Drosophila melanogaster: one gene and its partners. The protein of the gene in region 3 interacts with the protein of the main gene of each other region in a biochemical or structural test. Each region holds a gene or a part of one and is shown on either strand. Other genes may lie near its edges. The genes, in order: drk, sau and shi.

Region 1 (10,289 bases), on a different chromosome or scaffold from region 3:
TGAGTTTCGTCCTCTGTGCGGAAGGATTGCAAAGGAAAACTCCGATCAAATGCCTTTTTCTTCGGCCGCAGCTATAAATACACAAATAAATTTACATATCTAGTTTAAAGTGTCACTCAGTTGCTATTAAACGATTTCGTAATGTTATCGTAATGTAATTGTTTTATCAAAAAACGTCAAAACGTAAAAAATGCATTCGGCTTAAAGGCTTAAACTTGTGTTGTTCTATACGTTGTCTACAGAATTTATGTCCACGTTTCTTGTATATAAATATTTAAAATTTGTGTTTTTTAGTTTCTTCTTGTTGTTATTCGCAATTGCTGATAATGCTGCCTAATCGTTATGGGTGTGTGTTGTGTTTTTCGCGTTTCCCGGAGAGGATTGTGTGTGGCGTCCCTCCTTAGAAGTTATCTTATTATGAATGATATGGCGTCACATAAGTTGCTGGGAAGATGCCTTTCCTATTGCCGATCTCGCCGTTCCACCAGTTCTCATCGGAGCGATCTGTGACGGTGATGACATCGCCGCGTCTGAAGTCCAATTCCCCGGATTCCTGTGGCACAAAATCGTACAGCGCCTGCACGAGCATCTGCAATAAAAAAAATCGTTCGGACATAATGAATCCAATCTAATACTCTTGGCATCGCTGTTTGTTTATAGTTCAAATGGGTGGGCGGTGGCGGCGGCATCGTACGCAAACATGACCTCAATGTGTTATGCGAAATTTGTATTTTTAAAATGAATCTGCATGTTTGCTGAGCAAACTCATCACATCAAAATGGAATGGAATGGACGGCACACCCACCTCTTCAGGTATCATATCACGCAATTTGACATCCTGCGACCGGGACACGCTCGCCGTCCGATGATATTCGACCAGTTCGTTGAGGGAGTTGAACTTGACCACCCAGAGGAAGAATTTGCTTTGGGCATCGCGCAGAACCTTGAAATGCTGAACGCCATCGGGGCATCTGAAGGGGCAAAGAATTTCGATTATATACGGTTTTCAATCATAAATATGAAAGCTGAAGCCATTCAAGCGCAACTCACTTGACTGATAAGGAGAAATCGCCGGGACTGGATTCGCTGATGCGTATCAAGAAGGCGCCTTCGTGCTTATTTGACAGCAGCTTCTCAGCATCGGCGCGTGTGATGCGTCCGTAATACCAGCTACAATAGAAATGATCATTATTTGGGTCTCGATATTGGAAATTTCAGGCTCGACTTACTCGTGATTCTTCATTTCTATGTAATTACTAGGTATGAGGCCTTCCTTTCCATCCAGCTCCGCGCGATACCAATTTGAATCGTCTTCCATATTTAATATCTGTGTAAAAAGAAGGGATGTAAGTTAATTTAAGCAATACAAATCAATGGGTTTGTAAATGTAATGAACCATATTTTTGATTAAATAACTAATAAAGAAAGCTTGATTTGTGGAAAAAAGGATCTTAATGGGCATAAAATTACCTAAATCTTCTACCCCTGCCTAATAAAACAATCATATATTCAGCTTCATGAGGCTGAGTTAAATGTTAAATATGTTCTTTGGTTTTTCCATGAAGTTATTAAAACCGGAGCATCTGATTTTAATTCCCATTTCTCACGAAACCAAAGTACCAGCTGCACAGTGAGTAATCCGATCCCCGAAAATTTGTTGTAAGAACCTGCCTCCGTTGTTTCCATTTTGAGGGCCACTCCCCTTTAATCCCAACCCCCCCAGACAATGGCGATCAATCGAGACATTCTTCCGCTTTGTTTATTGGCGACTGGCCCGATTCCCCAGTGGATTCGATGAACAGTTTTCAATTGTTTGTTGATTGAGCGTTGTCCCAAAAAACTGTGTCAGTGCGCAATCAGCGAAGATAGGCTTATGGTTTGGTATGAAACGTACATATTTATCTATTATCTCCACTATTCTCATATCTTTTTTTTCTTGCGAAACGCTAAAAATAGGCAAGCATTATGGCCGCGACATGTGATAAGAATGTTAAGTGAAACGGAGCACTCACTCGAATGGACGAATTTCACTTTTGTCTATCTAATGAACTTTTTCCTAGCCCATTTCGCATGCCAATGACACAACAACAGGCTGCTGCCTACGTAATCATCGACTACTTTTATGATATCTTACGATTGACAGCCGAAATTGAAGATTGTCTATCTGCAAAGGTCTCGCCATTTGCTTGGCCACTGGGAATTCCCAGATTCGAAGGTGCTGAGTTGAGCTTTTATGAATGAATCTCGTCGCTTATGACGGCGCCCAGCAGCCTTCAGTTTTCGGAATCTGTTTGCTTTTCTCAAGGAAATCGGTTGCACAAATACCCAGGAAATGTGTTTATTGTGCAAAGGTCAGGATTTCGACTTTTAGTTAAGTCTTAAGTAAAGCATATTCCTATCTTTATGGATTTCTGCCATTTTTCCCTTGAGCAGTTCAGTGTTTATTTGGTAGCTTTGTTGTTTTCCAATATAGCTTGTTCGTCAAGTCGGAATAATGGAATGGCATTCAAATGAGTCACCCACAAAAAAAACCCCTGTTGATACTGTGTAGTTGAGGGTTGGTTACTTTTCTGAAGTTGCAACTTGTAATTACCCCATGAATGTCTCATCGTTAATTATACACGCTACTAACATACGAGGTTAATAACAAACATAATACCTTAACCCACAGATCGATTTCTTGTTAATTAAAGATACAAATATATATATATAAATATGAGATATATCATATTCGATTCGTATAATGATGTTTCGAGTTTTTTGGTTACATTTTCGCACGTCGGAATGTGGAGGGGATTTGGGTGATGTGGAGCTGGAGGTGGATGGGGTGTCAATGTCGTTTCCAGCTTATGTAAAACCCAATTATTGTGCTCACTGTTGGCTGTGGCAGTGGGATTTTGCCCGCTCAGCTGGATCTGGCCGACTAATTGGCATAGCTCCATAGTTCTAATCCACCCCGCGATCACCGACCATCCCGCCCGCATCTGTCACCCAGACATTGTTCATCGTATATTTATTTTATTTTTAGATTGTTTCATTCATTGAAAACAGCCGCCGAGAAATTCATTTCCACGGATTCGTCGTCTATTACAGAAAGTTTTCTCGCCGCTCAGCACTGGGAAAAACCAGAGGGTTTAGAAATAATATAAACTTAAATATGCTGAAATGCTTCAAGAACATAAACTTTCCAAGTATTCCATGATCGCATATTTATTTTCCCAACTGCATAAGGAAGTGCACCATTTTTTTTTCAGTGCAGGCAATGTGCAATGTGCCTGTTGGATAATGCATAAATATTTAGCGGCGCTTTCGGAAGGCAGGCACGTAGTGGCCATGATTGTTATTATCAATTGTTTATACTCGTATGCTTATGTAATTACTAGAGAAAAAATTCTATTGTCGTTTCGGAAATCCGACGCTGAAAAAAGTGTCAAAGCAACACGAACGTTCACTTTTCGCTGTTTTCGCGACAAGCGAAAGTTGAGCACAGAATCCCATTTCGTGTGTTTCACATTGTTATGATAAAACGTGGCCACTTTTGGTGCCCACACAACAAGGCCGTTAGAATTGGAGGCATTTTTTTTTTTGGAAAATGGAGCTCCAAATATCCAAGAAATACGCTGACCTGTAAACCAGTTTTCTGGAAAGAGAACGAACCCCAATGAAATGTTTGATGATTCACAGCGCTCCTCTCTCTATCGCCTTCTATGCCTGCTGTATGTTTGCTGGATTGGGGCATCTTTTCAGATAAGGCTATCGAGAAGTGACTAATCGCTGGCAAACAAACAAATGCGCTGGGAGTTCGAACAGATATGCGTAACATACATATCTCCAATGCGAGATAATCGTGTATTTCTATTTATCCCCCGCATCAATGGAGCCCAGAACTATGGGCTATTAAACGAACTATGACTATCAGTGCGGATTGTTTACCCATTGATAAGACCGTGCAGCTGGACAGAGGGCTCATCTACGGCGTAGAAGCCCCTCTAATGGACGGGAGCAGCGCACACACTTGACCTTCGGGCGGCGATAAAGAAGCCTCTTCGGCGAGTCATTGACACCATCAATCAGCAGCAGCGGCAGCAGCAGCAACAAATGCTGCAAATGCAGCGGCGGCATATGGAAAAGAGGCGCAAAAAAAAGAGGCACAAAAAGGGAGAAAACCTGCCACGGGCCTGGGTTCCTGCTGTGACTAACCTACGACAAGGTAGACACACAGCAACGAAAATCAGCTTACATCGCGCCCTGGCAACAAGAAACCGGAAAATTCGCCAGCCAAAACAAAGGGTTTGGCCTAGGACAGCCAGCCAGCCAGCCATCGAGCCAGTGAGCCAACACAAACACAAACACCTGGAAGGAAGCAAGGCGGCGAAAAAGATCGAATCGCAGCCTGCCAGCAGCCTTTTTCTTGGCCAGAAAAGCCAGCGAATACAAGCAACACGGGTAAGCATCGGATGTCCCCCACAAAGTTCCGCAAAGTCAAAGGGGGCATCGAATATATCATCACTACAAACTGTTGGAATTGTTTTTCTAAGCATTCGGAAGAAAACGAATAAGGAAAGTTGAAATAGTATATATACTATAGGAATGCTAACAATAAATAAGTTCATTCAAGGAAACACAGTGAAAAATGCTAGATTTGCAAAGTATAGTATATAGATTAAATCATATATGCATGTTTATAGCTTTAGAAACCCCCTCCTCACATCATTTTTTAAACTTACTTTGTAATGCTAATCACAACTATATGCAGATTAAATGGGGTCAAAAATATGGTCTTGATAGATTTGAAGTGCAGTTGAGAAATGAAAAAATGTAGAGTAGAATGTACAATATTTCAGTATGTGATGCTTCACAAGGATTTTGTACTGATAGTGGAATATATTTGACTGAATCTTTTCGTTCTAGTAAGAGTATTCGGGCTGCGGTGGCTAATGAGTCGTAATCCTTTCGTGTTGCCTTCTGCGAATGCACCTTTTGAAACTCTTTAGCCAGCTTTTGCGACTGCTGTCTGTTTGGTCGCGATTTAGTAACAAAATCTGTCTGGGGATTGAACCTAGGATGTGGGTTAAGGCAACGACCTGGACGGCGGCAGCTGCATCGCAGCGGATTATGCATGCAGGACCTGCCACGTCCCCCTGTGCACCCCCTTACACCCTTGCGTGCCCCCATTCAGTGTGAAGTCTATGAATAAATGCAGATATTATGATTTGAGGTGGGAATTGATGATTTTGGAACAGCACTCACCTTTAGAATCTGAGTTTTGCGAAAACTCAGCTCGTCGTCAGCCGTCGCAGAGAAATCGTGTTTGGCAATCGCTTCCATTTTGCTGTGTTGTTTTGTGCGCAGTTAGAAAACGCTTTCGGAGTTTGTTTTAAAATTTAGTTGCAATTGTAGTTTTGGATTTAGTTCTATCAGCCTTGATGCACCACACACACGCACACACAGAGGCACAGACACACACGCTCGTTCTCTGCTCTTTCTCTCTAACTCTCTTTGAATTTCTCTCTCACTCACTACTCAGTGCTGTGGAAATGAAAACGAAACGAGACGAATCCGCGATTAGTTAGCGCACATTATATAAACGATAAATCATGGATATTCGGCAGTGCGCTTTTCTCAGTTCGGTTAATAATAATATATCTTGTGCGAAGGCAAGGGAAGAAAGCGATTAAAAATACACCGACGACGACGACATTCCCAGGCGGAGCAGCAACAGAGAATGAACACAGACACGAGCCGCTCTCTCCACGGCGGCCACTGTGTGGGTGTGTGTGCGTGAGCGTGGCAGCGTTGCCAGCAGCTTGCGATTTGGAATTTCGGGGAAAAGCAGGTACCGCAAAAGCAATTAGACGATGTTTGGCTATTACTTGTTGTTATGCGAAGTAATTTGCCTTAAATAATATGAAATGTGTCGCTTAGAACACAATTAACATTTGGCAATCTAGGGCGTGGGTGCTTGCTGTTGGCAATGCTGCCGCGGTGACGTTGTTGTTTGTTTTATTTTTTGTAACCCCAATAAACACACACACACACACACACGCGGCGCTTATATTTCTATATGCGTAAGTTGCGGCTAACTATTTTCGAGTCTCTGGCACGTGCAAAGAGGCCGCCGGGCTTACAATTTCAAAGGGCTAGGGTGGCTGCAAGCTTAAGCGACACTAATTAGGCGCGGGAGCGGTTTGGCTAACATATTACTACTGCTAAATTTGTAATTCACTTTTATTTTCATAGCAGCGTGACCGTGGCCGGGTCGCTTTATTATTCCAAGAAAATATACTGAACACAACACTGTGGGAGAGGCATACCGCAGGGCTTTCGTAGTTTTCCTTCACCTGGTCACACCGCAAGACGCTTCGCCATTTTAAAAATCAAAACAGGAGACGCTTCGCCGGAAAAGTCAGCATTACGTTTCATTCCCAACCGGACACTTCAGTTTGACTCGCCCATCCGTCACAGCAGTCGCCATGCAGCGCCACAAGGAACTGTACAAGGAGCAATCGCTGGTGCTGAGTCCGCGCAATCACTGCCAGGAGAACAGGGATCGGTTGCAGGCGGCGCGCGCCAAAAAACGAGAGGATTGTTTTTATCAGAACCGCATCATCAGCGTGAGCCCGACGCCCGTCAAAATAAAGCAATTGGCGGCGGCCCAAGCTGCTCTGACCCAGGAAAATGTGGCACCCAAACTGGAGAGTCCGGAGCGGCTGGACACGAAGCCCGCAGAACTGCTGAAGGAATCCAACCCGAAGGTCTCCCGCCAGAAGCTCTACTTACAACGCTACATGGAGTGGAAGATAGCCAAGACCAAGGAGCATAAGCAGCAAGACCAGAAACGTCGAGGCGCAGCCATCAATGTGCCGACAGTAAAACAATCAAAGGCCTTGCCCAAATCACAAACATTTCGGGTTCCCGATAATCTGGCTTCTGCAAAGCAGAAGGAGGCGGCTCCCATGTTCCAGCCTCCCAAGCGGTGTTCTCTCTACATGATTGCCAATCCGACGGGCAAGGGAAAAGCCGCAGAACCGATTAAACCTTCAATACCCAAGCCAACGTCAGCAGCAGCTCCTCCGTCATCCAATACCGTGGCTGCATCTTCCGCCTTGGCCAGGCATAAATCAGCTGCTTCTGCAACAAAAATAGTGCCTGCAATTCGTCAGAACAACAATCCAGTGGCCTTGGCCAGGCAAAAAGCAGCTGCACGACCCATTCCCAACACAACGAAGCAAACTACCAGTGTAAGGCAGCCTGGGATTGAAGCGAAAAAGATCACTACCACCATACCCAGACCCACCCCAGCGACAGTCACGAAAGCGAAAACGCCAGGCATACGACAACAGCCACCAGTGGTCAGCACAAAGCCAAGATTACCTGAGCCGCCAGCGCCACGGACAGCTAGACTGCCCAATGTGTTGTCCAAGCCGTTCGAGAAACCTTTAGGAAACAAGGCACCAGTGACACGACGGGCGAATGTCGTGAAACCACAGCCTATACGTGGCGGAGGTGGTGCCGCGGCCAAGTTCAAGGACACAGCTGGAGCGACCAGCAAGGCAGCAAGTCACTCCATACGAATGAAGGCCACCAAGATAAAGAGCCAGTACACGAGGCTTCAGGACAACGTGCGAAAGCTTCCTCAGCTCAAAGCCGAGTTGCTGCACGCAGCCACGCTAGATATACCGCCTCTCACGCCGCTAGACGATATCCATAATCCCTTTATCGACCAGGCCACATCAACGCAGTGCAAGTCGAACAATAGCAGCGGTCATCTTTTGGAGGCGTTTGGCGACACCATCTTGTTGAGCCCGGTGGCACCGGTCAAAGCTGAAGGAGAAAGTTCGGTGAAAAGGCAGTTGCTGCCGGAAGGTAAGAAAGAGGCGTCAGGTCCGGTGGCAAAGAAAAAGTTCGACTTTACGCGTTACTCAGTGGCGAATTCGCCGGCGGAGGACTCGCTCATCTTGGATCCTCAGCAGACGACGGGTGAGTTTGGGATACGCCTTCTCCAATCTTAAACTCAAACTCACATTTTCCTTTCAGTTAAAGAAGACACTGGAGATTCCACTTTGGTGCCAGAGGGTACAAAGACACCGCCACGTCGCGAATCCAATGGAATGCCCAACTATCTCAGTCCGTTTGTTAGTGTCTCGCGGGGAAAGGTGAACTCGCGCTGTGAGAAGGAGAAACGCAATAGCTTCTACCTGTCCAATGAGGAATCGCCCTTGGAAGTTCGCCGTGCCATTGAATCGGTTCTGTACTTCCGACTGCAGCTGGAAAACGAGATCACGCGCCTCCAAGCGCTTTGCGCTGAATGGGAGGCGTACAGCAAGGAGAATGAGGCACGGCTGCAGGAAACGGGCGGCATTGACATGATCAACGTGACCATCGGTCAAACACGTCTGCTGACCACAAAAAAGATGATGCAGTTCAGCGGCCTGATCGATCGTTGCGAGGCTGGAGCGACCGGCAAGAACAGTCAGCCAAACGATGGCAGTGAGGATTCGAAACCGGTGCAGGCTGAGGATCTGGAGGGCTGGTGGGACATGCTGCGCCTGCAGAGCGAGAACGTGGACAAGCGTTTCGATAACCTGAAACGTTGGAAGGCCAACGACTGGCTGGATCCGGATGCCGTGGCCGAGGAACCCAAACAGCCGAAGCCCAAGCCCAAGATAAGTCGCAACATGAAGATCAAATCGAAGGCCAAGCCGAGCAGCAATCTGCAGCAGTTCCTCCGCAAAGCCCATGCCAACATGAAGAAGACCAAGGTGGAGGAGCCAACGCTGGAGGATGGCCTGCCCGCCACGTCCTCGCGCCACAGTTCGCCGCGAGTAATCGTAGTTCGCAACCGCCGATCCTTTTCGCCCGCCCGCACAGTACTCCGCATGTCCACCGGCGAGGGCCGTCAGTCGATTGCGCCAAATGCGCTCCTGAAATCAGCGATTCTTGCGGCCGCCGAGCAGAACGCTGCCAAGACGCCGCCGCCTAAGCCGCGCACCTCCATCCTCAAGACGCCCGGCACCACGAAACGCCAGAACCGTGGCGTGCTCTTCAGCGCCAAGAAGAGCGTACGACGATTCCAGTTCACCTACGAGGAGGGAAACATTAGCAACGACGAGACAGTGGGCGCCGACAAGTTGGAGGACTGCGAGGAGGACATGTCGCTGGAAGCCTCCACGGAAAGCGGATCCCTGGAACAGAATCCGGGAAGGGATTCCAATCAGGAGAATGAAGCAACTCCTCGCACGTACACGCTGCGCAATCGGCGGGTGAATCTGCGTCCCTCCTCCGAGTTTATGTAGTTTTGTCTATTGACAGTAATTGTCCGTTGTGGAATTGTTTATACTTTTATCTTCTTAGTTTAATATTTTTTTGCGGATGCCATTAAGTGTTAATTTATTAAGATGTTGAAAATTACATTTGGCGTTTTAAATGTTCGACGAGTATGTTCTGTGAAAATGAAAGCTTATTTTATTTTTAATTATCTATCTTACCTTGATTATAATTTAGACATAGTTAAAGGAATAAAAAAGAGAAGAATAAATAAATTTGAAATGCTTTTCTTATTGAAAGGGGATCGAAATTTAAAATTAACAATTTAATATCACAACACAGAAATTTGATTACGCGACTCAACTAGTAAAACTTGAATTTTGGAGTTCCAGAAAATTAATATTAAAATATTTGCATTTTTCAAGTTGTCTAAATAAATTTTAAGAATTTAGTTTTGGTATGAGTCTTTGCTAACATATTACCCAAGTCATTCACCTTCATGGCTCCGTATAATTTTGAAGTATTTTCCAGTATTTCCTAAGGAAATTTCAGTATATCTGCGTGTGTATGGCGGTATAATTTAACGGTAGCGACACGGTCTCACCCTGATTCATAAAAGTAAAGGAAGACCACTCGACGGCAATTTAAATTGAATTTTGAATTTTGCTGTTGCACTCGATTGTAAATACTCGTTGATAAGGCCGCCAAATGAAAGTGCACATAGCTGTGATATCGCGACGCGCATCTCACCGCAGTGACTAACCGCCTCGCGACCGTTTCGTTCGCCCGCGACGCCCTTTGAGTTCAACGCATTCACATTTCCCAGTGTGCAGATTTTCTTTTTGTTTTGTCCGCAGTCACCGCGCACTGCATTCAAAACAGCGCCCAACACACAATACGCGAACCACAGCGGCACAGCATACACAATACACACCCAGCATGGACACGAGTGGCGGAAATTTGGGTAAGGATCTGGTCATTTCGTATTTCAAATTGAATTTTCAACCTCTGGTACAGCGTGT
Region 2 (12,543 bases), on a different chromosome or scaffold from region 3:
GAAATAGAGCGTCCGAAAAACCATTAAAAATTAGGGTAAACATTTCAGAAGATCCAGACTTGAAGCTATCTTTAATGTCTTACGCTTCAGCTTCTGGTTTCCATTCAGAAATCGGTTATAAATCAAGAAGTGGGAACTCAAACACAACTTAAACGAAACGAACGGTTCATTATGTCACTCCACTAAATTTAGCACTACGCTCTTCTACGCTCACCGCGCTCTTTTACACTGAGAACAATATAACTGTATATGCTTTAAATGGATTAGTATTATAAGAAAGCTTCAAAAAATACTTGTAATATTTATTTAATTCAGAATGATGATTTTGTTGCGAATGCAGATGTTAATACCAAAGCTTTTCTCTCGGTGTGTGGACTCTCTATTTTTCATCAGACATATGGCTGGTTGATTTACGCATTGTTTGCTTTGCATTATTTGTCTTTGTGCCAGTACCGCTGTTAATTACCAGTTCCTACAACTCACAATTCGCTATTTGCAAATCAACCGGCAAAGTAAACAACAGAGAGAGAGACGGAGAGAATTGATTGCAATCGCAAAACAGCTGACGATGCTCTCTCGCATTCGCTGGCCGTCTGATTCTAAATGTTTTCCTCAGTTATGCCTGAAATGTAGAGGCGAAATCAAGTTCGGCCGCGAGAATTAAGCCATAAAATTTACGACTTTTCGAACGAAAAACGAGACATAAAAATGTGAAAACCAAACAGCGAATGGCTTTCAAATAAAACGCTTCATTGAGCTTAAGCGCTTTTTGCTATCTAAAAATCGAACTTTAAACAAACATAGACAAAAATTCACGATCAAGGTCAGTGGATATGTACTCTATTATGTGTTTTGTGGCTTGTTTACATATGGCCAAAAATAATTGGTACTCGTTTTATCAGTTCGAGATAAAGGCGGTTTGACTCGGAGGAAGTGCATTCATGCTTGGAGCCCAAAGGTTAAACCGGTATGATAACGCCGATGAGCGCATAAACCCGTTTAACTTGTCCAAGAACCAGTGCAAAGCTCGGAAATATCGCGATTTATTGAGACTCAACAAGTGGAATAGTAGATACACATATGCATGCATATATTATATGCGATGGAAATCGGAAGAGTTTTTCCATCTTTAATTTAAATAGATTTTTTTTTCTATTTAAAGCAAATCTTGAATTTTGCTTCAAAACAACATATCAGAGTATTTGTTCGTTTTGTCTTGGAATTGCTCGATTCTTCAATCGGCACAAAAATTCGCAGTTTAATGGCGAAATCCGCCAGGCAATGCATTAATCGCTGTAAGTGGCTGAATTATGTGGGCTAGTGTACCCCAATAACGTCACTTGTCTATTTATTCCGTGCAATGTCTACCTAAGCAATTTCAATTATGAAGTCACTCGCGAATTGTGTGCCAAAATTCGTTTGTTTGCGGCTAGAATTGCTTGTCTTGGGCTATTTGTCAAAACTGATATCCAGTGAGTGATAGGATTGCATAAGAAAAGGGGGAGTGTACATCGATACTGCGTACCCGTAGGCCTTTATTGATTCCATAAGACGACATTAATGCTCGTACCAGTCGACTTGGGACATCAGATGGTCTTGAACTTGTTCTATTTTTGTGTTCCCAAGCACACGCAACGATATTAACATATTAAAGAGGCCTTGAAAAGAGGTCTTAATGCTTTTTATTTATTTTTAAGTTGTTTCAGTGGGATTTAGTTGCTCGTACTGTTGATATGTAATGTTGTGACCAGAAATATTTTATTTCAGTTTTCGAAAACCTCGAAAGGCAGACTTGAAAAGGCTGCCCCAAACACCCAGCTCTACGCAAATCCACCCACAACAAGTTAATCAACATGTTGCGCAACACGCCTTTCGGTGCCACGCCCACCTACAAACTACTTCTGGGCTTCGGACTATGCTCCCTTGGGGGCGCCATGCTATATGCCTATTTCAAGACTCGAAACGACGAGGAGGAAGCGGACTCAGGTGGCCAACGGCCGGCATCCGGGATTAGAGGACAGACAGAGGAACAGAAGCCCCAGAAGGAAGTGTGCCTCAAAATCGTCGTGGACAACGAGCATGTGCCCCTGATAATGGGTCGCGGTGGATCCAATATCAAGTTGATTGAAGAAAAGACCCTGGCCAAGATAAGATTACGGTAATTGGATTTGAAAATTATCGACCCAGGAATTAAACCTGACTAACAAAAATCAAATTCTTCTCCTCCAGAGACAAAGACAGTGGCCACAAATTCTGCGACATTAGCGGCGTTCCCGATGCGGTTAAGGCGGCTCGAGCTCTGCTTATCAAGGAAATTGAACGTGCGCCCGTGGTGAAAGTGGAACTGCAGGTGCCCCAGAGGCTGGCCAGCAAAATTAACGGACGCGGCGGCGAGCTCCTCCAGGAGATCCGGAGCAGTTCGCTAGCCAAGCTGAATATCGATTTAAATGGGCGGAATGGAAAGGCCAAGATTACGATTATCGGCAATCAAAAGCAAGTGAACATAGCCCGAAAAATGCTGGATGATCAGATAGAGGAGGATGAGGAACTCGTGCGGTCCATGGAGGAGGTGGAACAGCGTCGGGAGCCCCGCAGATCTCCCACCAACAGCATTGCGTCCAGCATGTACTCCTCCCAGACATCCCTAAGCTCTCACACTCAGCCCAGAGACAAGCTAATGGCCTCCAAGGGCGAGGGTAAGCCAATGGAGGTTTATGTCTCCGCGGTGGCCTCGCCCACTAAATTCTGGGTTCAGCTTATCGGACCGCAGTCCAAGAAGCTCGATAGCATGGTCCAGGAGATGACCAGCTATTATAGTAGTGCTGAAAACAGGGCCAAGCACGTGCTGACTGCTCCATATGTGGGTCAGATTGTGGCAGCCGTGTTTAAGTTCGACGAGAAGTGGTATCGCGCAGAAATCGTGGACATTATGCCTAACCAGTACAATCCAAAGGAGCAGGTGATCGATCTCTACTTCGTGGACTATGGAGATAGCGAATATATTTCGCCAGCTGATATCTGCGAGCTGCGCACTGATTTCCTCACGCTCAGGTAAGCAGTTCGACTGATTGGATAGACATAAATTTATATTTCACTATTTTAGGTTCCAAGCCGTTGAATGCTTCTTGGCCAATGTAAAATCTACCATCCAGACGGAGCCTATTACGTGGCCAAAGTCTTCAATCGCAAAGTTCGAAGAGCTGACAGAGGGTATGATTTCAGCAACAGTTGCTAGATATATTTTTGACTAAACACCGAACATTTGTAGTGGCACATTGGAGAAAGCTGATTGCTCGAGTGGTGACCTACAAGGAGCGTCCACGGGCAACCACCGCTGTAAGTGCTGCTGCCAAGGAGGGAACCCCGCTGCCCGGAGTGGAACTATTCGATCCAGCCGACAACTCTGAACTAAATATTGCCGATCTGATGATCACCCAGGGCTTTGCTCTGCCCCTGGACGATTCGTATCCAGTGCGGTCACGCTCCTCGACGCCCTCAAGTAACAGCGACTCCACCATTGAGGAGTTGTGCGTCAGCAATCCAGTGACTCCGCTTACGCCCCACTCACCTATGTCGATGTCCATTGATGTTGACAGCATTACGCAGGCGGAGAACGAGCACCTCGCCCAGCAGCTGCAGCATTTGCAGCATAAACTGAACGGAAACGACATAAAAAACATTAATCCGGCTAAACTGACGGCTACAGACCTCGAAAACGGGAATAACAATAATGCCAGCACCACAAATGGTGCTAGCGCGCATTAGGATTTCACATTGTTACTAATTATCCTCGCCTAATTGTTTATAAGATGAAGGCTGGACGAGCAGCTCACTACTTGACGTGTACATAAAAGTATAGCTCTTAAGGAACTTATTGTATAGGTACGAAAGAAAACTGTTTAATTTATCGCCGTGACTGATCGACATATCCTAGATCCTAAAAGCTGACGATGGAACGGCACAGATCCTTAATTGTTTATAGCAACCTTTGCCATGTTACTTATTGTTAGCAAGAACAAGAAAAACATTTGTACATCAACAAAAAATACACAAAAAAGATCACAAACTTATCAAAAGAAATGCATTTTATAAGAATATCAAGCTTAAGTCTATTTTGGTGGCCTGTTTCAGAAATCTGTATTAGAGAAGTATTTCAATATTCTTTGAAAATAAGATTTTCTAGATGACGTTAAGGCATAATTGAAAATGAATATAGTTTCTTCAAATGAAAAGGGCTACAAATATTAAAAGTCGCTTAAAGTATATTAAAAAACCCACCGGGGGGCAGAATTGCAGTCTTGTTTGGGGGATTTACCCCACGCTTAGATTAGGATGTCGTTGGTGGTGTTTATAGCTATGGGGGGCAGGTATATGGCGCGGATCTGACTGCGCAGGCGTACGATTTCCATGTCGTCCCTTTCCATTTCTCTGATGAGCTGGGAGAACTGGACTAATCCCTCGCGGTTTCCAGGAAACCCATGACCCTTAATGACCTCCAGTTGGAGTTGCATCACCAATGGAAAAACCTGCAATGTATTATGTTAAACTATTTGGTTATTTGTTTTGATTTGCTTGGTATTTACGTGCTGCATCATGAGAATCATCTCTTTTCCAGCGGAAGCCTTTGCCTCTGAGAGTTTCTTCGAGTTTTCCGGCTGATTTACACAGCGTATTATGTCCATAAGAATTTGCTTGGCAGTATCACTGTTGAAATTGGTCAAGTAGGACATTATAAACGTTTTAACGGCAGTGTTTGTGACGAATTTAGGCAAAATGCAACAAATTGTAGTAGGTTTTATTTTGTGTTTCCGTTAGAGATGAGTCATACAGCGATTACAACTATCGGACAAACTATCGGTTCGGATTCATAACATTACCAAACCCTTAGTATGGACAAGGAACTGTAATATCATTCAAACAAAAACTTTACGATTAAATAAATTAAGCTGAATTACAAAAAATTAAGAGTAAAAGTTAAATTAATTTCGTTTTAACAGCACCTCTAGAAGCAAAACGTTATCCAACACTTAAGGTCTGGAAAATTGCCAGTACTGAAAAGTGCGGAAATCATGTCACGTCGGAACGTCGACAAAAGACACAAATAATAGGAAAAAGCTTATTTCGCGCAGGCACTCGCATATTCCCAGTAAATGCAAGGCCAATGCAAATGCACCATTAGTACGGGCCACCAAATTGTAAATCAAACCGTCGAGTTCCCAGCGCAAAAACGCCGAGCAAAGCAGCAACAACGAAACGCAGTTTAGGGCCTGCATTTTTGCGATAGTGTGAAAAGTGCGTGTGTGCAAAAGAATACAAAATAAAGGGGGCGCAAAAGAGTCAGTGAAAACAACAACACACAAAAACACAAGACACAAGTACACAGAGAAAAACGCAAACACCCGCACTCGCGCAAACAGACACACACACACACTGTGAAACTCCCAACGTCGAGTCAGCAAATTGTGCCACACACACAAAACGAGGAAAGAGGAAGAAGAGCAGCAGCAGAAAAACATAGGTGCTCCGCTCGCATCCCACATCTCCAAAACTCCATCGATCCGAACTTCCCGACTACCCAACCCAACTCTCCGGAATGAATCGCTCCGACGGATTGGTGCGTCGCTCGGTGAAACCCCGCGAAAACGGTGGGGCGGAGGGTGGGTTGAATGCCAACACGCCGGACGACAACCAGGATGCACTGGACAACCTAAAGGACCAGGAGGACAATATCGACGATGGCGACTCCAAGGAAACACGACTAACGCTCATGGAGGAGGTTCTGCTGCTGGGACTCAAGGACAAGGAGGTGGGTGTGCTCCTTATCTCTTATCTGCTTGGGATGCACTAATTAATTGGTTTCTTTCGCAACATAAGTGCTTCTTCTTCACCTGTTAACCGACGTCTCTCTCTCTCTGTCGCTCTCACGATTTCTCTCTTTCGCAACCTCTTGCTTGGCCCCAAGTGCAACGCAGTCCATCTTCCAGCAGGGGCGTAGTGAAAATTGGATACAGGGGGGTAACTTATCACTTCAGTTATGGGGGCAACAATGTTTATCTGTCCTACAGATAAACATTTTATGCCATGTCTTAGCCACTTCTCTTAGCTTTTCCAGTTTGTTAAGCAATGCACTATGAAATCTTTTGACCAGCCTGCTGACTAATGCGCAATCAGTGAGACTGCCAACACCATTTTCTTAACCACTTTTGTTTTTGCATTAATTAATAGTGTGCTCCATCTGTTAAGGTCTAATCAGCCGTTCATTCTAATCTATAGAACCCATTACTTGCCCTTTGTAATACTTTGATGTACTTCCCAAATAAGTGATGATATATTTATATATAGTATATAATAGGTTTATTTTATGTGTTACACTATCGCGCAATTGCTTCCAGTGCCAAATCAAAAAGATTCTTAGAATTGTTGCCAACGTTCTTAGTTGTTGGAAAGATAGCGCTCTAATACTTCTTCGGTTGGCAGTTGTGGCTATAAATACATACATATCTCTTCGAGAACTTCACTCCGCGCAGCACGGAGAACGGTTTCGTCAAACGAGTTTTCCAATAAGTGGTTAATTTGCATAGGTTTGTAATATTCATAAATCTACGTATAGCGCGGGATGATGTCCGTAAATGCGAACCATCATCCATACGTGACCCATTATGGCGAACAGGCAGATTCGCATTTCTCCATTGAATTCGGTTTTTATATTTCACTTGGCACACAGCTTTATCGCTCAATTGCTGTTCGCTTGTACCACATAGGAATGCACACATGTGCCTTTGTGGCTGGCACCACGTCTATTTGTTTTCATCATTTTGCCCGCAGTGTATTTGTGTGACCACCCACACCTCCATCCCTGCCACCTCCTCTCCCTTCGCATAAGAGGGATACGAGCTGGAAACAGTGGGACGTGTTGCCCGCTTTTGTTTTACATTCCCCTTCCGAGCGCTCTTATCGCGAAGATTTTGTCCATTTGGTTAATTGTTTGAGGAAGTACATACTATCAAGTGCTGCTCTCCTCTGCCTAGCTCTCATCCGTTTCGGGCTTTTCTTATGTCAGTACGTCACTCATTTTCGAAATTATACAAAGTACTTGGCTTCTACCCACACCATCCATTAGGAAAATTTCAATATCTCGAACTGCCGAACTGATAAGCGACGTGTTCTTTGCAAATGATTCACTTTTATACCTTTCGTTCGGAACGATTCCTTATCAATCATCTGAGCGATTGTTATATAAATTATTTTAAAATCGTGAAATGGCATTGAAACGTGGTTGAGGTATCTATCTATACCTTCCAATTATCATAGCTTTTCAAGCGTTAATAACAAGAGTAATTTTTGTAATTGATTTTTTATGTGGTTATAACATAACTCTTCTTGTTCGTTTTTTCATTTATACTAGCTAGATAAGCATTGTATTTTTTAAATTGACAGTTCATACACTTCTGTGGGCAAGGCCTAAACAAACTCAAGTGTTTAATGTTTTAACAACTGAATACTTTCGTCTGGGAGCTTTACGACCCCGGCAACAGGGTAATTATTCATTTCTTTTACGCCCAACACAAGTGAAAAGGCCAAACCATAGACTTGCTCAAATATATTTCAAAACCTTGAAACATGAGACAGTAACCATTTGTTAATGAAGTTTGTACTTACATTTATGTTAGATAGAATTTAATAAAATTTTAAAAAATAAACAAGTAACGCATTCACACATTCTTATTTTTAGATGCCCATCCAGGCCAATCAAATAGCTTGAATCTAATAGCATTTTTAATTACTTTCAGGGCTACACATCTTTCTGGAACGACTGCATATCAAGCGGCTTGCGCGGATGCATTCTCATAGAGCTTGGACTGCGAGGTCGCGTGATGATCGAGAAATCTGGAATGCGGCGACGTGGTCTATGTACAAGGTATGTATAGAAATCTAGTTTCCACATCCTTTCAGAAGCATGCTAACTTCAATTCGCCAACAGGAAATTAATACTGAAATCGGATCAGCAGACGGGAGACGTTCTACTCGATGAGGCACTTAAACACATTAAGGAAACAGATCCCCCGGAGACGGTGCAGAGCTGGATTGAATATCTTAGTGGTGTGTATTTAGGCGCCTGCCATTTCGCCAAGTATGTTTTGTATAACCTATTGTTGTGGCAGGTGAAACCTGGAATCCGTTGAAATTGCGCTACCAACTGAAAAATGTACGCGAACGTCTGGCCAAAAATCTGGTGGAGAAGGGTGTGCTCACGACGGAAAAGCAAAATTTTCTACTCTTCGATATGACGACACATCCGCTGAGCGACAATGTTGTCAAATGTCGCCTGGTGAAGAAGGTGCGTAACTAGACTTGGATATATTCAAGAATTCTAAAACTGAATCCGAAATGTATGACTTCAGATCCAAGATTCTGTGCTCTCCAAGTGGGTCAACGATCCACAGCGCATGGACAAGCGGATGCTGGCGCTTATCTTCCTGGCGCACGCCAGCGATGTGATCGAGAACGCCTTCGCGCCGCTGAATGATGACGACTATGAGGTGGCCATGAAGCGGGTGCGGGAGCTGCTGGATCTCGACTTCGAAGCCGAGTCGGCCAAGCCGAATGCGAACGAAATTCTGTGGGCGGTGTTCATGGCGTTCACGAAATAGACGATCCTCTGATCCTCTACGCTCCTCTCAATAGCACACACACACACACAACACACACCCCAACACAGAAATACAGACCCACATCTGGAATACATTTTGCTGCTTTTGTTTTAGAAACTTTGCTGTGAGTGGAACCGAATCGGGCGATAGGATTTTCTTAAATGGCAACCACCCCAAATATCTGTTTCAGTAATATATATTTTTTAAGCGAGACTATAAAGCAGCCATAATTCCTATTTAAATATACATATGTTTATCAACACTTCAATAATACCAATCAAACGCTCCATTGTCCTTTAATTTTTTCCTGTTCTGTTGAGCATAATAATACATGCCAATGTTTTGCAATCATAATCAGTAAGTTGTGTTCCACGACACATAGAGTTTAGTTGATGATTTCTCTGGCAATGCAAATCAAAATGTATGATGGAAAATTTAAAGCTGCAGCATTGTTTTTGTAATTATATATCTAGCACTAATTGTAAGCGCCAACAAGAAAACTTTGATAAAGTCTGGGCAAGCTGCGTGCGATTGTCTATTGTCAAATATCCTATATATATTTTATCAAAACTTTTCAATTCTATTTTTGATTGTCAAGTATTTTCGAGCCCTTTCCATGTATTCGATTGCGCGTAGAAAATCAGTTCAAAACGTTTCTCGAGCTCCGCAATTTTACCTTAGTACGTTCGACCTTAAGTATGCACCCACCCACATGAACAGACAGACATGCAGACAATTTGACACGGAGCGACATTCAATCTAGGCAATGTTTTAATTTAAATTGTTATTGAATTTCGGGAACATTGAAGTTGAAAAACCTTTTCTAACTGCTAAAAGAAAAATAAAGAACGACAAGAAGTGGACAGCAAGAAAAGAAAAATTATGTAAATGTAAACTGTGCACGTCAAATAATACTAATTCTTAGATATTTAAAGGCCTAATAAAATACAAATATAAAATATATAACTGACGCAAAATTGAAAGTTTATTGCAATTTCGGTTGTACCCCTCCATAAATCAGAGGAAAAATATAAAACATTTAATGAAAAATGGGTGATGAGTTTTAATAAAAGGGGGAAAGCAAAAGTGGACAATCGTCGGAGGAGAAATAGGATTCTTTCCGGTGTGACGACCAATCCGATTTAACTTATCTACTTGAAAGCATAGCCCAATTTTTGATTCGCTTTTTAATACAGTTTTTATTCCGTTTTTCATTCTCAATAAATGTGTTTTTGTTTTGCAGTGTTTGCATTTCTTTCGATAGTTGAAGGGGCAATATACCATATAAGTCGAGTAATTCTCACACGAAACATTTAGGTTATAATATAATAATCTTTCAATGACATAAAGTATGATAAAAAGCAGGGCGCAGCGCACAAATTATTGCAAAAATACATTAGGCCAAAAAGGATGTGAACAAAGAAGTGCTCTTATACTATCCGTTAAATCAACTAGCAGTTTTCAACTGTGGAAAATTTGCAAGTAATTTGTAATTACAATTAAACATATTCATGGAATTTTATAAGAGAATAATTTTTTTCTAATTTTGCAGATAAGCAGTTGCCTCGTTTAACAAATGTTTCGTTTCTAGCGCAGCCGATCAAAAAAAATACATACAAATATATATATATAAAGTAAAACAAAGCAAAATATGAAAACTTTAATAAAATTAATGGAAGAATTGATACGCTCGAAATGATAGCCATTAATTAATATATATGTATATGTATTTTGATGTAAATATAATTGAAGTTCCAACAGCTTTCAGCGCCAGTTTCTGCTTCTGATCCTAAACCCTTTGCATTTCTTATTTTCCGAGGCGACTGCGCATGGACGACAGACGACGCATCCGAGCCCTGTTTTGGGAATAACTGTCCGCCCATCGCTGCTCGGGCTTGTATGTGCCGGAGTAGCCGGCGTGCTAACTCAGCAGATCCTTAATCTCCTTGTGCATGTGACACAGGAAATCCACGTAGCTGGCGGAACCGTCTGTACCGCGGTCCTCCACGAGGAAGTGTCGGAACACGCTCTCCAGTTTGTCGTTCTGCCGCAACCAAGTTATCTGAAGAAAAGATTAAGATCGTTACACATTTCCACGAAGGCAAAGATTTGATCACTGCAAATACGCACCCTCATGTATCGCGAGCGCTCCTTCATGATCTGCTCTAGGATGCCGTGTATGCGCTTGGCCAGCGGCGTTTCTGGAACAATGTTAAACCGCTCCAAAGCTATTTGCTGAAGACCCTGAACGCCGAACACGGACTGCACAAAATCAGGCGACAATGCCTGGCCCAGCCAGACGAAGAGGTGGACTCCATTCTCCAGGATGTAGGCGCCATCCTCTTGCGTCTTTTCGTGCGTGCAGCGAACGGGAGTCGGCAGATCTGTCTCCTCGGGTACAACGTTGTGGATGGGAATGAAACGGGGATACAGGTAGCTGACGGATTGGTTTAAGTCCATCGACAGAATAAACTGGATAACATAAGATCGATCGTCTAGCGTCATGTCCGAACCGCCGGAAATAGCATCGTTCTTGAGCAAACACGAGGCATACAGTGGCAGCAGCTTCAGGCACTCGGGAAGAATCAACTGGCCGGCGGAGGTCGGCGAGGTGCAGTGCTTGCGATAGCAGGCCAGGATTTGCGCCGATCGATGGATTAGGTTGTCTTTCACCTGCTTGGGTGAATGCTCCATCAACTTGAAGCAGGCCTGCTTGGCGAAGAACAGCATCATCGCGTCCAGGTCGCAGCACTTAAAGACATCCGCAATCGTTGTTGTAACGCGCAGAGCAAGGTTAAGAATTCGCAGACGCCTTTGGCCGCTGCACGAGGTGTACAAGAGTGCGACTTGAAGGTACACGTTCTCTTCTGGTGCCAGCTTGTCGTCATGCTTGATCTCAATGCTTATCGACTTGGTGGCATCTGGAAATCGAAAGGAATATTATTAACATATATAAAACCAAAATGTAGCCGTGATTGCATACCAATACTGGCCAGCTCCACATCAGTTGTATTGGACATGAAGAAGTGACCATAAAACTCCGTGGGTCGAATGCCAGCCGATGTCCGCACCCTCATCACCGCGTCGAAGGCGATCGGTCGCGATACGTTCTTAATGATATCCTGTATTAGTCTCTTGCCATCCACGTCCGCCTGGAAGTAGGTGTACTTGAACACCTCTCCACCAGTCAGCCGAGAAACCTGCCCAATCGTGGCCAAGTCGATGTAGGCGTTGTTAAACACGAATAAGTCCACGGAGCAACCCTGCTGGACGCACTCCTGGCCCAGTGTGTTATATGCAGTGGTTTGTGGAGTGAGTACGGTTTTCTCCTTATCAGTTCCCAGAAGCTTCCGATCATCGCGATTCTTTAGCTTGCCAGGCGCCTCCGCGATGGGTAGCGTTGAGTTAAACACCAGCAGTTTTCCAGCTGCATTCGATGCCTTCAGTGCCTCCAAACCCGCTTGAATGGCAGGGTACAGAATCGTTTCGGTTTCCTTGGTGTCGGCAAACATACGAGGGATCTCTTCCATCAGAGCATCGATTACAGCAGCCGACTCTTCTGGGTGGCACAGGAATCCATCCAGCAGGGGCATGAACATCTCCTGGACATCGCCCACAACCATCATTTGCGGCTGGGCCAGACTGCTCTTGATATTGTAGAAATGCACGGTGCTGTTGTACGTGATGAAGCCCACCCGCACCTTGGATTTGTCTTGACCCTGGTCGACAGGCAAATGCTTGAGTATGTTCTTGATCTGGGAGCAGAGCAGATGAACCAGTCCCGACTTCACGGTGTTGTAGGAGACGTCGATGATGAAGATAAAGGCGGGAACCTCCGGGGGAGTATTGTTCTGCGGCAAAGGGAAATAATTAAAAATCAGTTTAGTGTGTA
Region 3 (9,879 bases):
GTCATCTTGAAATTGATTAAAATCAAGGAGGAACAATAGAGCCGAATATCCGACTATGTGATACCCGCTATTGTTAACCCGTTTCAAACAAATGAAAACAAATCAAGCCCAACTACTAACTTAGTTTTTATCTCAACGATTATTCAGATATACGGAGGACATGGATATATCTTAGAAATAATTACGAGTAATTTCAGTAGCGGGTATAAATGAATAATTATATCGTGAGAAAATGCAACAATTTAATAAGGAAAAAAATCAAACCAATATAAACAATTGAAATCAACATACTTTTTGCTAAGTAAACCAACCGGAAGAAATTATTAATTTTTGTGTGTATTTTGGCGTTTCATAGATAGATTGGTCGTTTTTTTTTTTTTTTTTTTGTTTGGTAGGTGGCGGAAAAATAGAAGAGAACAACATGTTCACAATCGTTATAAGAAACCAGTAACAATGCCATAGTCGAGCAGCCGACTATCTTAATCAGTAATTCTAAGTTAGTTAAATAAACAAGATGGAAGACCGACAAACTACAACTTTAGCTGATGAAAAGAAATGTATCACAAGCCGAGTGGAATGAATTCAATTTAAGTGGAAAACTTTGATCAAAACTCTTCAATTTTAACACAATCGTAAACGAATTTATATATATATATATCCAATTTGTAATACTCGGCTTGTGATATGGTAATTTATCGCACCTTTAACCATTTAAGGGGTTACACCATCTTGAGACTTCGAGGTGTACTAGCTCATATGTATGATTTTTTGTAATGTGATGACATTTAAAGCCGCAGTTATTATTTAATTTTAGCAAATCCTCAGCCGATTAACAATATGTTAGTAGTTTAAAATTTGGAATTTCTATTTTTTAATAATAAAAACAATTTGTATCTAATAACGGCTAAAATACCTCACCAGACTTTAAAAATGAAACAACCGAAATTAAACGAAAGATAAATGATCAAAAGTATGTTAAAAATAATGTATTAGTTATTAGTATTCAAAATCGCATACATTTATACGAAATTTAATTGATGAGTTTACTAAACAATATATATGTATATATTCCGAAAAGATGCAAAGATTAACAAACCTCTTGTCCTTCCTGGATGACGAATGCACATTTAAAGCATCGATATTGCGAGTTATTTTGTTGATTTGGTCAATGAAACAGCGGAAACAAAGATATATAAATATATAGATAATGTAGTAATCGGAAATGCTTTCAATTTAAGTGGAAATATCTAAACGACAACTATGCCATCTTAAAATACAACCTTAAAAATTTCAGCTTTTTTGGAAAGCTATAAAACGCCATATAATATAATAATAATATATATTATATATATAATAATAATAATATATAATATTCCTATAAAGCCACTACTTCGTGTAGCGCTTCTTTTCTAAATCCAATTAGTATCGAGTTTGGCCTTAGATCTAGGGATTACTAGTAAACTATCTATGTACGCACCTCATCGCCGTTTTCCTGAGTCTCCTGCTTTTCGGGATAGACACCAGCTCGCAGGAAGGATGCTTTCCAGGACTCCACATCCTCCACAGTCTCGCACGAGAGCTCCAGTTGTTTGTAGTCCTAGAATACCGGGTGTTCGAAGGCAGAGAATGAAACATTTTTGATACAAAAGCGCTATTTTTGCTTAGCCTAATGGTACACTACATTCAATTGAAAATCATTATCAGTTGGGTACGGGATTCACTTTTGTCATAAAACGAACGATACGCTTTCACCCACTCTGCTGGTCCTGAATTATAAAAGACTAACTCTTTGAAGATCCTTGAAGAGGCGGACGAGAATCCTGTTTTCAATGCGGACGGACTTACAGAAGAGAAAAGGCTTTATCGATTAGTTGAAATGTAATAAAATCAAATGGCAATATCACGTTATTTTTTTGTAGATATACCCATTGAAGATTTCACACTTTTCGAAAGTCGTTGTAGAGCAGTGTAGCCCTTAAAAAAGCAAGAATTGTTAATATAGTGCTGTTTCGCCTTTATTGGCAATGGCAACAAAGTGGTTTATATATTGCTTTATGTTTCATAAAAACTAACTAAGGAAATTGAGCGAACTAGCCTTAAAACATGCCTAGATGCTCTCAGTTTTTAATTGAATCAGACCATCAGTTCTTTTGAATCCAGGATTTCGCAGTCCGTGAAGAGCGATGCCTTGCTGAAAACGCGTTACATAATCTCAAAAAACATATTTTTTTTAAATATTCAGACGGTTTAGGTATTGCTTGTAGTGAGTGACATATGAATATAAAAACCATTGGTAGCTTAAAGATAAACGTTTAATTTGTGTATTAAGTGATGTTTTAAGTGGTTAGACATTACACTAAGCAAAACTGTTTGTTGAGTTGTTAAGTTTAGTGTAAAATAGCCTAGCTGTTCAATTCAGAGGCAGGAAGGAAGTTTCTGGCATAAATGAGGGATGCTGGATGAAACCACCAGGCGACTGACTGGCACACAATGATTTGGAAGGAAACAGCGTCCTAAAAGTTCCGAAAAGGAAGGAAATAGGTAGAGTTATAAGCCCATTGCTGTTAATTCTATCGGAAAACTCGTTTTTTTTTTTGGGCTAAAAAGTTCAAAGCTTTTAAAGAAGTACAGAGAGAATAAAGCAGTTGTAATGGAAAATCGGAAAAAGTCCCTTCTCTTAACCTTGTACAACCAGTATAAATCACATGATTATATCATGAGCTTTATTCTGCCTGCGAACGAGGTTGCATTTTAAAAATCGTTATCGATCACTATCTTTTTGGAGAGTGCAATATCGATTTGAAAATTATTTTGAGGGAATGTATTAATAGCTTTTAATACAATCGAGAGGTTAGTTAATGACTAATGGATGACTACTTTTTGCGCGATTCATTGTGAATCAAATAGAGCCGTGAACTTCTTAAGCTAAAAGCGCACATCACGAAATCAAAAGGCAAAAGGAGTTTACGACGCGGCAAGCTCCTTTTCCTTCAATTCGACTTAAATGTTGATAAAAACATAGTAATTTTTATATTATACAAAAAAATAATTAATTGATCTCTTTCCCGGACTATTTCAACCAAAGGATTCAAATTGGGGTTATATAATGAAGATTTGAAATATTTTGCGTAAAAATATCTTCAAAAATTGCTTTTGTTTGTTTGTTTAGTTATTTTGATTTAAAAGTTTTTCTCTGGTTTTGTTTTCTGAAATCATTTAAAATTCATTTTTTTGTATGTTAACAAAAATTACTAACCTTATAAACATTACGTCCATCGGGACTAAATAAAGCAAATGTAACACGTCTAGACATTGACATAAATCCCTGTTCAATATCACGCAATTTTAAACCATCCAACGGCAGCATAAATTTCTTCTCCTTCTCATCCTCGTCCTTATACCAGGAGATACTCTCGGATGTCAGCACAAACCAATACGGACGCGATCCACCTGCAAGACACACATGCGAAAATCAATACGTATCCATGAAATCTCCAGTTTAAAAAAACGAAACAGTTTTTGGGTCAGTAGATGCAACGCTCGTAAACAACTTCTTCGCCTCATCGAGAAGTAATCATCATCAATTTTGTTAGCTAAGCTGGATATTGTACCTACGTATCCTTCATATAAAGAAGGATGCTCGACGCGCCTATGGAAGGTCAGCAGCAATCGTGTTCGATTCGAGTGATTCAAGAATGATTGAAAGTATAACACATGCAAAAGAGTGGCGTGTTCTAATTAATTATCCAAAGAACGCAAAGCAAAAGCAACAGAAAACATGATAGTACCTGTAGAAGGACTGAAAAATCGTACGTTTAGCGGTCCAGATCGTCCTAATTTTATATCTTTCAATGACAAAGACAATATTCACATAAAAAATACAAATTATAAAAGTTTCAAAATGACCACCACCAAGCCACCAAGCGGTGACCAGTCTTAACGCACTTCTTCTTTCATTTCGGAAACGTTGAAAACTAAATTTCTAACAAAGCATTCTGTCACCATTTACAAGGTTACTGCCCTTCAATCAATAGCAAGTTGATTGAGAATGTCATTGGGGGTGGGGGGAACGTGCATACCTTTCATGATTCCAAGGTTCTGGATGACCATGTGACCCTTGCGAATGACTTGGTTGCCCAGTTGACGAGTGCCAGTTTTGTTGGCATTCTCTGATTTGTTTTGAGCGCTATAATGAGTGCAAGATTTAGTTTTTCCCTACGCCCCTTTCCAAATGATCAAATACGCACTTGGCGAAGCCAATGAAGTCCTCATGATTGGTGTTCATATAGGCCAGCTCAAAGTCAATAAGCAGCAGGATCTGTTCCTTGCAGCTATGCTCGCGTTGGCGCACATGTGTTGTGATAATACGTTCGGTCTCCTCACGCAGACGTGGGTATCGACTCATCTGTTCAAAGATAAAAAAAAAAAATATATAAACTTAGTGCTTAGCTTGGTGCCAGCAAATAAGCCAACTTACTTTAGCTGTGCACATGCGCACGACCACAGAAAGTTCCTGTACGACTAGATCGACACACTTGATAACCGGCTCCTTGAGCAGCGCTATCTGCCGCTTGACAATCGCCTCGAACGCCATGTCGGGTGTGAAGAGGCCAACGCGAATACCATGGATATTTCGAATTGCAAATGAGATCTCTCGTCGCAGTTCCTTTTCATCGCAAGCCATCTTTACGATCTCAAAGCGCAGACTGAAGCAACGAGATGTTATCATATCAGTTTTAGGGGGCTTTTCAAAAAGACACCACAAACACCTACCGTTCATGGAAAATGCGATTGATCTTGGCGCCACCTGAGAGCTCGTTTGTGTTCACCAAAGCTGAGCCGCTGCCCTCGATAGTTCGCTCAAAGTCTGATTGCAGCTGCTGAATCATTCTGTAGGAATGTAAATACACCAGTTTAATCAAGAGCTACAAACGGAAATCCTTTTTTTTTTTGAACTTACTGGAGCATAGCTTTTGTTTTGATGCTAGCATCGCCTGGCTGAAAGTGCTTAAACTCCTCCACCTCCTTCTCCAAAGTGAGCATCTGCTTCTGCAACTTATCCCGCAGGCCAGGTAACGTGTCCCTGATGTGATTGGTTAGTTGTTGGTTGAGCACGCGCTGCAAGTAGGGGGTGCCGAGACGGTCGGCCATGTGCCGATAGGAGGGATGGCTCAAGAAGAACTTGCGTTCGGCGGCCAATGCCTGGTGGATATCCTTGCGCCCCTCGATATCCTTTTGGGATCTATTCACCACGCCAATATAGCCACGTCGCAGCGGAAGCAGCTTATTCTCCAGAATGTCGCGTGCATCGGTGCCCTCGTCCATCAGATCCAGCTTGGTTATAACGCCAATGGTTCGCACACCCTGTGGATCCACCTCCTTGGCCAGCTTGAGGGCATCCGAATTGGCCAGATCCGTATTGGCCGGGGTCACAGCCAAAATTAAACAAGTCTCTTTGCGAATAAATTGGAATATCATCTGCTTAATTTGCTGCTCAATATCCACCGGTTGATCGCCAATGGCCACCTTTGTCAGGCCTGGCAAATCGATCAGGGTTAAATTGAGTACGTGCGGCGAGTAGACGCGCAAATTAATTGGAATGTTTGAAATGCCTTTGTTACTACCGGTCACACGATCCGTTTCATCTTCGATTTCTTTTCTGATCTCATCGAAGCTGGAAAACTTCTTGCCTTTAATGTGAAGGAACTCGCCATATTCTGCAATAAATATCAATGTTAGCATTAGAAGATAGCTTCTCTTTAATCATATCAAATGCTCAACTTACCGGTAACTCCATTGATCAGTTGCAAGATTAGTGGTCTCCGAGTTACGATACCAGAGCCGCGCGGCAAGAAATCTCTGTAAAATGGGGAAAACGTTTTGTATTTAATAATGGAATCATAGAAGTCTTTGGTTTTTGGATTGTGGAGCCTGTTCATCTAACAATATTACTACTGGGCTTAAGAAGTATGTAGAAAGCATTAAGCCTAGTATCAAAACATTTTGAAATTGCATCGAATAATGAGTATTTGAGTTGCCAATACTAAAAACTTAATGGAAATTTAACTTATGACTTGCAGCTAGTGTTTAAATTTCCAAGTGAGAACTTCAGGACTCCAAAAGTGTTGGGCATTGTTTAATACCACTGAGTACTTAAAGTAAAGCTATTTGTTAGCTAGGCTAATAAATCAAATGGTAAATGGGTCATTTTGAACACTCTGGTCACCTACATCCTGTTCGCACTGACCAGAGTTAGAAGAAGCCTTCATTTTCCATTGACATTAAGACTTTGGCCTGCCGTGGCCGTGGGTCTCGCTGCCTCTCTCGCTTCCTCCGATGGCTCAGTGGTGTCAGGTGGGCGGGGGGCGGGGTAACCACCCTAATTGACACACATACATACATTCATACATACATATAAAGCACGGCGCATGCGAAATCTAACTGGACTATTTTGAACATAGTGGACTTATGTAAGCACAAACTTTACATGGCTCAATGCAGTTTGTAAATACATGAATGGGCATATTGATTAATGTTCTTTTTCAGCGCACCCCCCCCCCCCCTTATTTGCAAGCTATGAAAAATAAATAAATCGACTCTAAAGGAGGTCAAACTTTTACAAATATATTCGAAAGTAAACATATAGAATGTGAGTTACTCTACTCAATCGTTGGGCAAGAGTGGGGAAAAACTTAAATCGCCGACACACTATCATTTTGGCCTTATCTGCATTTTTTTGGGGCGTAAGCCATTGTTTTCTTTATATGTTTGTATTTAGAGTGGACACTAACAAAGAAAAATGAGAGACAGCGCAGGCTTATAGATACAAACACACAAGAAATCGCATTGATACATACAATTTAGATTTCTGTTTAACAAAATTCAAAATACGTATACGTAGATGTTCTACAATTCGTTTTGTGAATATAGTTTGCAGAGCTGCGGGGCTTTTGGATTTTCAACAGCTTTGTGCAGGTGAAAGATAAAATTCTTATTATCATAATTAAGTTAAGACCACTGATATGGTTTGGTCATTATGAGCAAGTACACTTGTTTCGTAGACACCAATTATTGATTGTTAATAAACAACCAAAAAAAAAAAAAATAATAATAATGCCTGAAAGCGAGTGCTATCAGCGATTACTCATAGTTTTTCAGTAACATTTAATTGGGCATTCCACGAAACGCAGACATAATAGAAAGAATAGCGCTACTTTTCGCTGAGCACTGGCGTGCAGAAAAATCGATTCGCTGCATGCCAAAGAGGGGTCTCTTCAGGTCCATTATCAATCACAATATATGTAGGCTAGATATTTGGGGTGCTGATAGGGTGATATGGTATGATAGTATGATCCCATATGAGAGGATAATATGCTGATAAGGCGTGCGGGGGATACTCACTTGCCCACAAAGTTCTCCAAAACGGAACTCTTGCCAGCTGACTGGCCACCGACCACCGCGATCTGCGGCAGATCCAGTTGCATGTGGACGCCGAGCGATGTGAACGCATCTTGCAGCTTGTTAACAATTGTAATTAAACTATCCATTGCGGCGAGGTCCGATTTCCCTCACAATTAGATTAGATTAGATATCAGATCAGATCAGATCGAACTGCGATCCCAACTCGTCCGGATGTTTGTGTTTTTACTGCTCAGCTCCCGGGTCTTTTTTTTTTCTATGCTGTTTCCTTTAATCGCTGGCTTTACTTCACTGCACACACTCCTCTGCAAAATACAATTGCTGCATTATAAATACTTTCATGCGTTCCATCACTTTTCTTTTCGTTTGTATAGATAACACAAAAAAAAAATTGACAAAATTTGTGTGCGGCGGTGGGGGTGGTGGTTAATAACAAATATGCGTAAATCGTGGGGGAATGGGGAAAATTGCAAACAGAAATCGTTATTGGAGAGCACTCATGAGTTACTCATTCTCCCACACGATTAACCAACCCGATATATTGTATGTACCACCACAATAACCTTTCTTGCTTCTTCGGATTATAATGGCGATGTAGCGAAACTTATTGGAATCGGAATTGGAATCGCGAAGAAGGTAAAGACGGGTATGATTGTTGGGTTTTGCGAGCAAAAGTGTTTATCGACATTTACACGAAAATAATTTGTATATATACTCCCAAACGAATTTATCATCGACTTTTCCAATTTGTCACTTATTTCTCAGGCGTAACTGTGTTGTGTTAGTGTAGATGTCATGTTTATCGCCACAAAGAGCGCACTGCGATTTGGGCTTTGGCTTGGTCTTTTAAACAAATATTCTTCTTATTGTGCAAAACTGACAACTATCACCACACTCCGCTTCCAAATCGTTTCAATGGATTTTTTCGACTAAAACTAGAGATGCAAGAAAGTAATCAATCTGTACCCGATAAGCTGGTCTGGTCTGATTTTTTTTGGTATAATTGATAGGGCTGGGTGAATCACTCGCGATACATCGATATATCGAATAGTTTCCGTATGCCGAAGCTAAGTGTTGGTTTCGATAACAAGTCCAGTGCTTTATCCGACATCGATATCAATTTAAGCGCAAGGTCGCCTACTATCGCAACTATCAAAAACAGCTGATTTGATTACATTAACTTACAAGTAATTATCTATCTATTTATTAAATTAAATGCACATCTACAATATGCATATCCTGAAGGGAATATATAACCAATACTAAAAGCTTATAAAACTATTCATTTTATGCGCATGTCCGGCTTTTCTGCGTTTTTGCTTTATATCGATAACAGATACAGATGCAGTGCGCAAGCTTTAAAAGCATAATAACATAATCGAGTATGGTAATGATTTGACCTTTGACATTCAATTTTAAGCCGTTAAAGCTTTTTTTTAGAAACGCAATCGATACTCTATTTTAAAACCACTCAACATGATGAACTAGTTGGGATAAAAGTAGCCAACATTTCAAACTTATTGGAAAATGATTAAACGTTTACAGACCCTACCCCTATTTTCAACTTTAGAACCCAATTTACATTGGATTGAATAACACTTTAATAATTAACATTATGTACATAAGTCGAGGGATTTAACAAACGTTAGGTTTTCGCAATATTTTGTCTATGATTAACCCAGGCATCTTTGGACTTGCGCATCTTGCCGAGAATCTTGTCCATAACTAAGCTATGGTTAAAACTGAGGAAATCCTGTCGCATCTCCGGCCATTCCTCATCCGCAGCCGTCTGACAACTCTGTGCGTCGCTTTCTTCAACTTCCGCATTTGAACTAGAGTAACTGTGCTGAAGATCGATTTTGGACAGAACCTCGTGGACCTGATGGAGACCAGTGCTCGTTTTGTCCCGGACAAACTTGATCTTTGGCACTTCGCCCATCAGATGGAGCTGCGATAGCTCGTGCTGCAGTTTGCCGCTCATGCGATTCAATGTGTTCTCGAGCTCTTGGTTCTCCCCGCCATCCTTGCCCATCCAATAGACATTGATGCGGGAGAAGTCGCTGGTGATCTTGACATAGGAAATCTGCACTCCGTGTCCCACGATGGAATCGGCAACTGCGCCGGTGGCCAGAATATCAGTGATGTTCGTCATGAACAACTTGTTCAGAACAGACATGCGTCGATTGTTGTGGCTGCAAGTTGTCTTCGAGTGTGGGGTTCCAAACTTTAAGGCGTGCAGCGACTTTTGATTGCCTGATGTTCCTGCATCGGGCGATGGATACCAATGGCTTTTGCTGCCTTTAAGCCGATTTCCAAACAACGAGCCAAATATTTTTCCCTGTCGCGTTACGTTGTCTTTGCTCGACCTTTTGGAGCTCTTGTTTCGCGAAAGTGCCAATTGGCAGGCGTTGTTAAGAACGGAGTGTCCATTTTGTAGCCTTAAAACACGAATGCTTAACA

Evidence for each region.
Region 1: the proteins of shi (region 3) and drk form a complex in vitro, tested with the Drosophila melanogaster proteins (one study listed by BioGRID).
Region 2: the proteins of shi (region 3) and sau form a complex in vitro, tested with the Drosophila melanogaster proteins (one study listed by BioGRID).

What each region holds. Positions count from the first base shown.
Region 1 is NT_033778.4:13,496,563-13,506,851, forward strand, and holds the start of drk (downstream of receptor kinase), read right to left. Parts: upstream 6,280-10,289; 5' UTR 6,129-6,279; exon of another isoform or gene 5,363-6,128; 5' UTR 5,329-5,362; coding exon 5,251-5,328; exon of another isoform or gene 4,912-5,250; intron 4,447-4,911; exon of another isoform or gene 4,059-4,446; intron 1,328-4,058; coding exon 1,230-1,327; intron 1,171-1,229; coding exon 1,051-1,170; intron 972-1,050; coding exon 806-971; intron 590-805; coding exon 416-589; 3' UTR 1-415. Other genes in the region: mars, read left to right, coding at 6,474-7,980, 8,038-9,296.
Region 2 is NT_033779.5:2,221,476-2,234,018, forward strand, and holds sau (sauron), read left to right. Parts: upstream 1-4,866; 5' UTR 4,867-5,593; coding exon 5,594-5,806; exon of another isoform or gene 5,807-5,830; intron 5,831-5,888; exon of another isoform or gene 5,889-6,129; intron 6,130-7,790; coding exon 7,791-7,918; intron 7,919-7,981; coding exon 7,982-8,100; intron 8,101-8,162; coding exon 8,163-8,338; intron 8,339-8,402; coding exon 8,403-8,651; 3' UTR 8,652-9,624; downstream 9,625-12,543. Other genes in the region: papi, read left to right, coding at 1,854-2,158, 2,230-3,051, 3,104-3,210, 3,269-3,765; CG15387 (uncharacterized protein), read right to left, coding at 4,323-4,526, 4,584-4,730; Sec24CD (secretory 24CD), read right to left, coding at 10,573-10,713, 10,782-11,572, 11,635-12,502. UniProt on the Drosophila melanogaster protein: Phosphatidylinositol-4-phosphate-binding protein that links Golgi membranes to the cytoskeleton and may participate in the tensile force required for vesicle budding from the Golgi.
Region 3 is NC_004354.4:15,890,673-15,900,551, reverse strand, and holds the start of shi (shibire), read right to left. Parts: upstream 8,353-9,879; 5' UTR 8,301-8,352; exon of another isoform or gene 7,971-8,300; intron 7,725-7,970; 5' UTR 7,548-7,724; coding exon 7,402-7,547; intron 5,860-7,401; coding exon 5,786-5,859; intron 5,718-5,785; coding exon 4,961-5,717; intron 4,891-4,960; coding exon 4,774-4,890; intron 4,707-4,773; coding exon 4,478-4,706; intron 4,406-4,477; coding exon 4,248-4,405; intron 4,187-4,247; coding exon 4,080-4,186; intron 3,846-4,079; coding exon 3,789-3,845; intron 3,451-3,788; coding exon 3,257-3,450; intron 1,598-3,256; coding exon 1,478-1,597; intron 1,109-1,477; coding exon of another isoform or gene 1,097-1,108; intron 298-1,096; coding exon of another isoform or gene 292-297; intron 1-291. Other genes in the region: CG15916 (uncharacterized protein), read right to left, coding at 9,065-9,879. UniProt on the Drosophila melanogaster protein: Microtubule-associated force-producing protein which is involved in the production of microtubule bundles and which is able to bind and hydrolyze GTP. Implicated in endocytic protein sorting.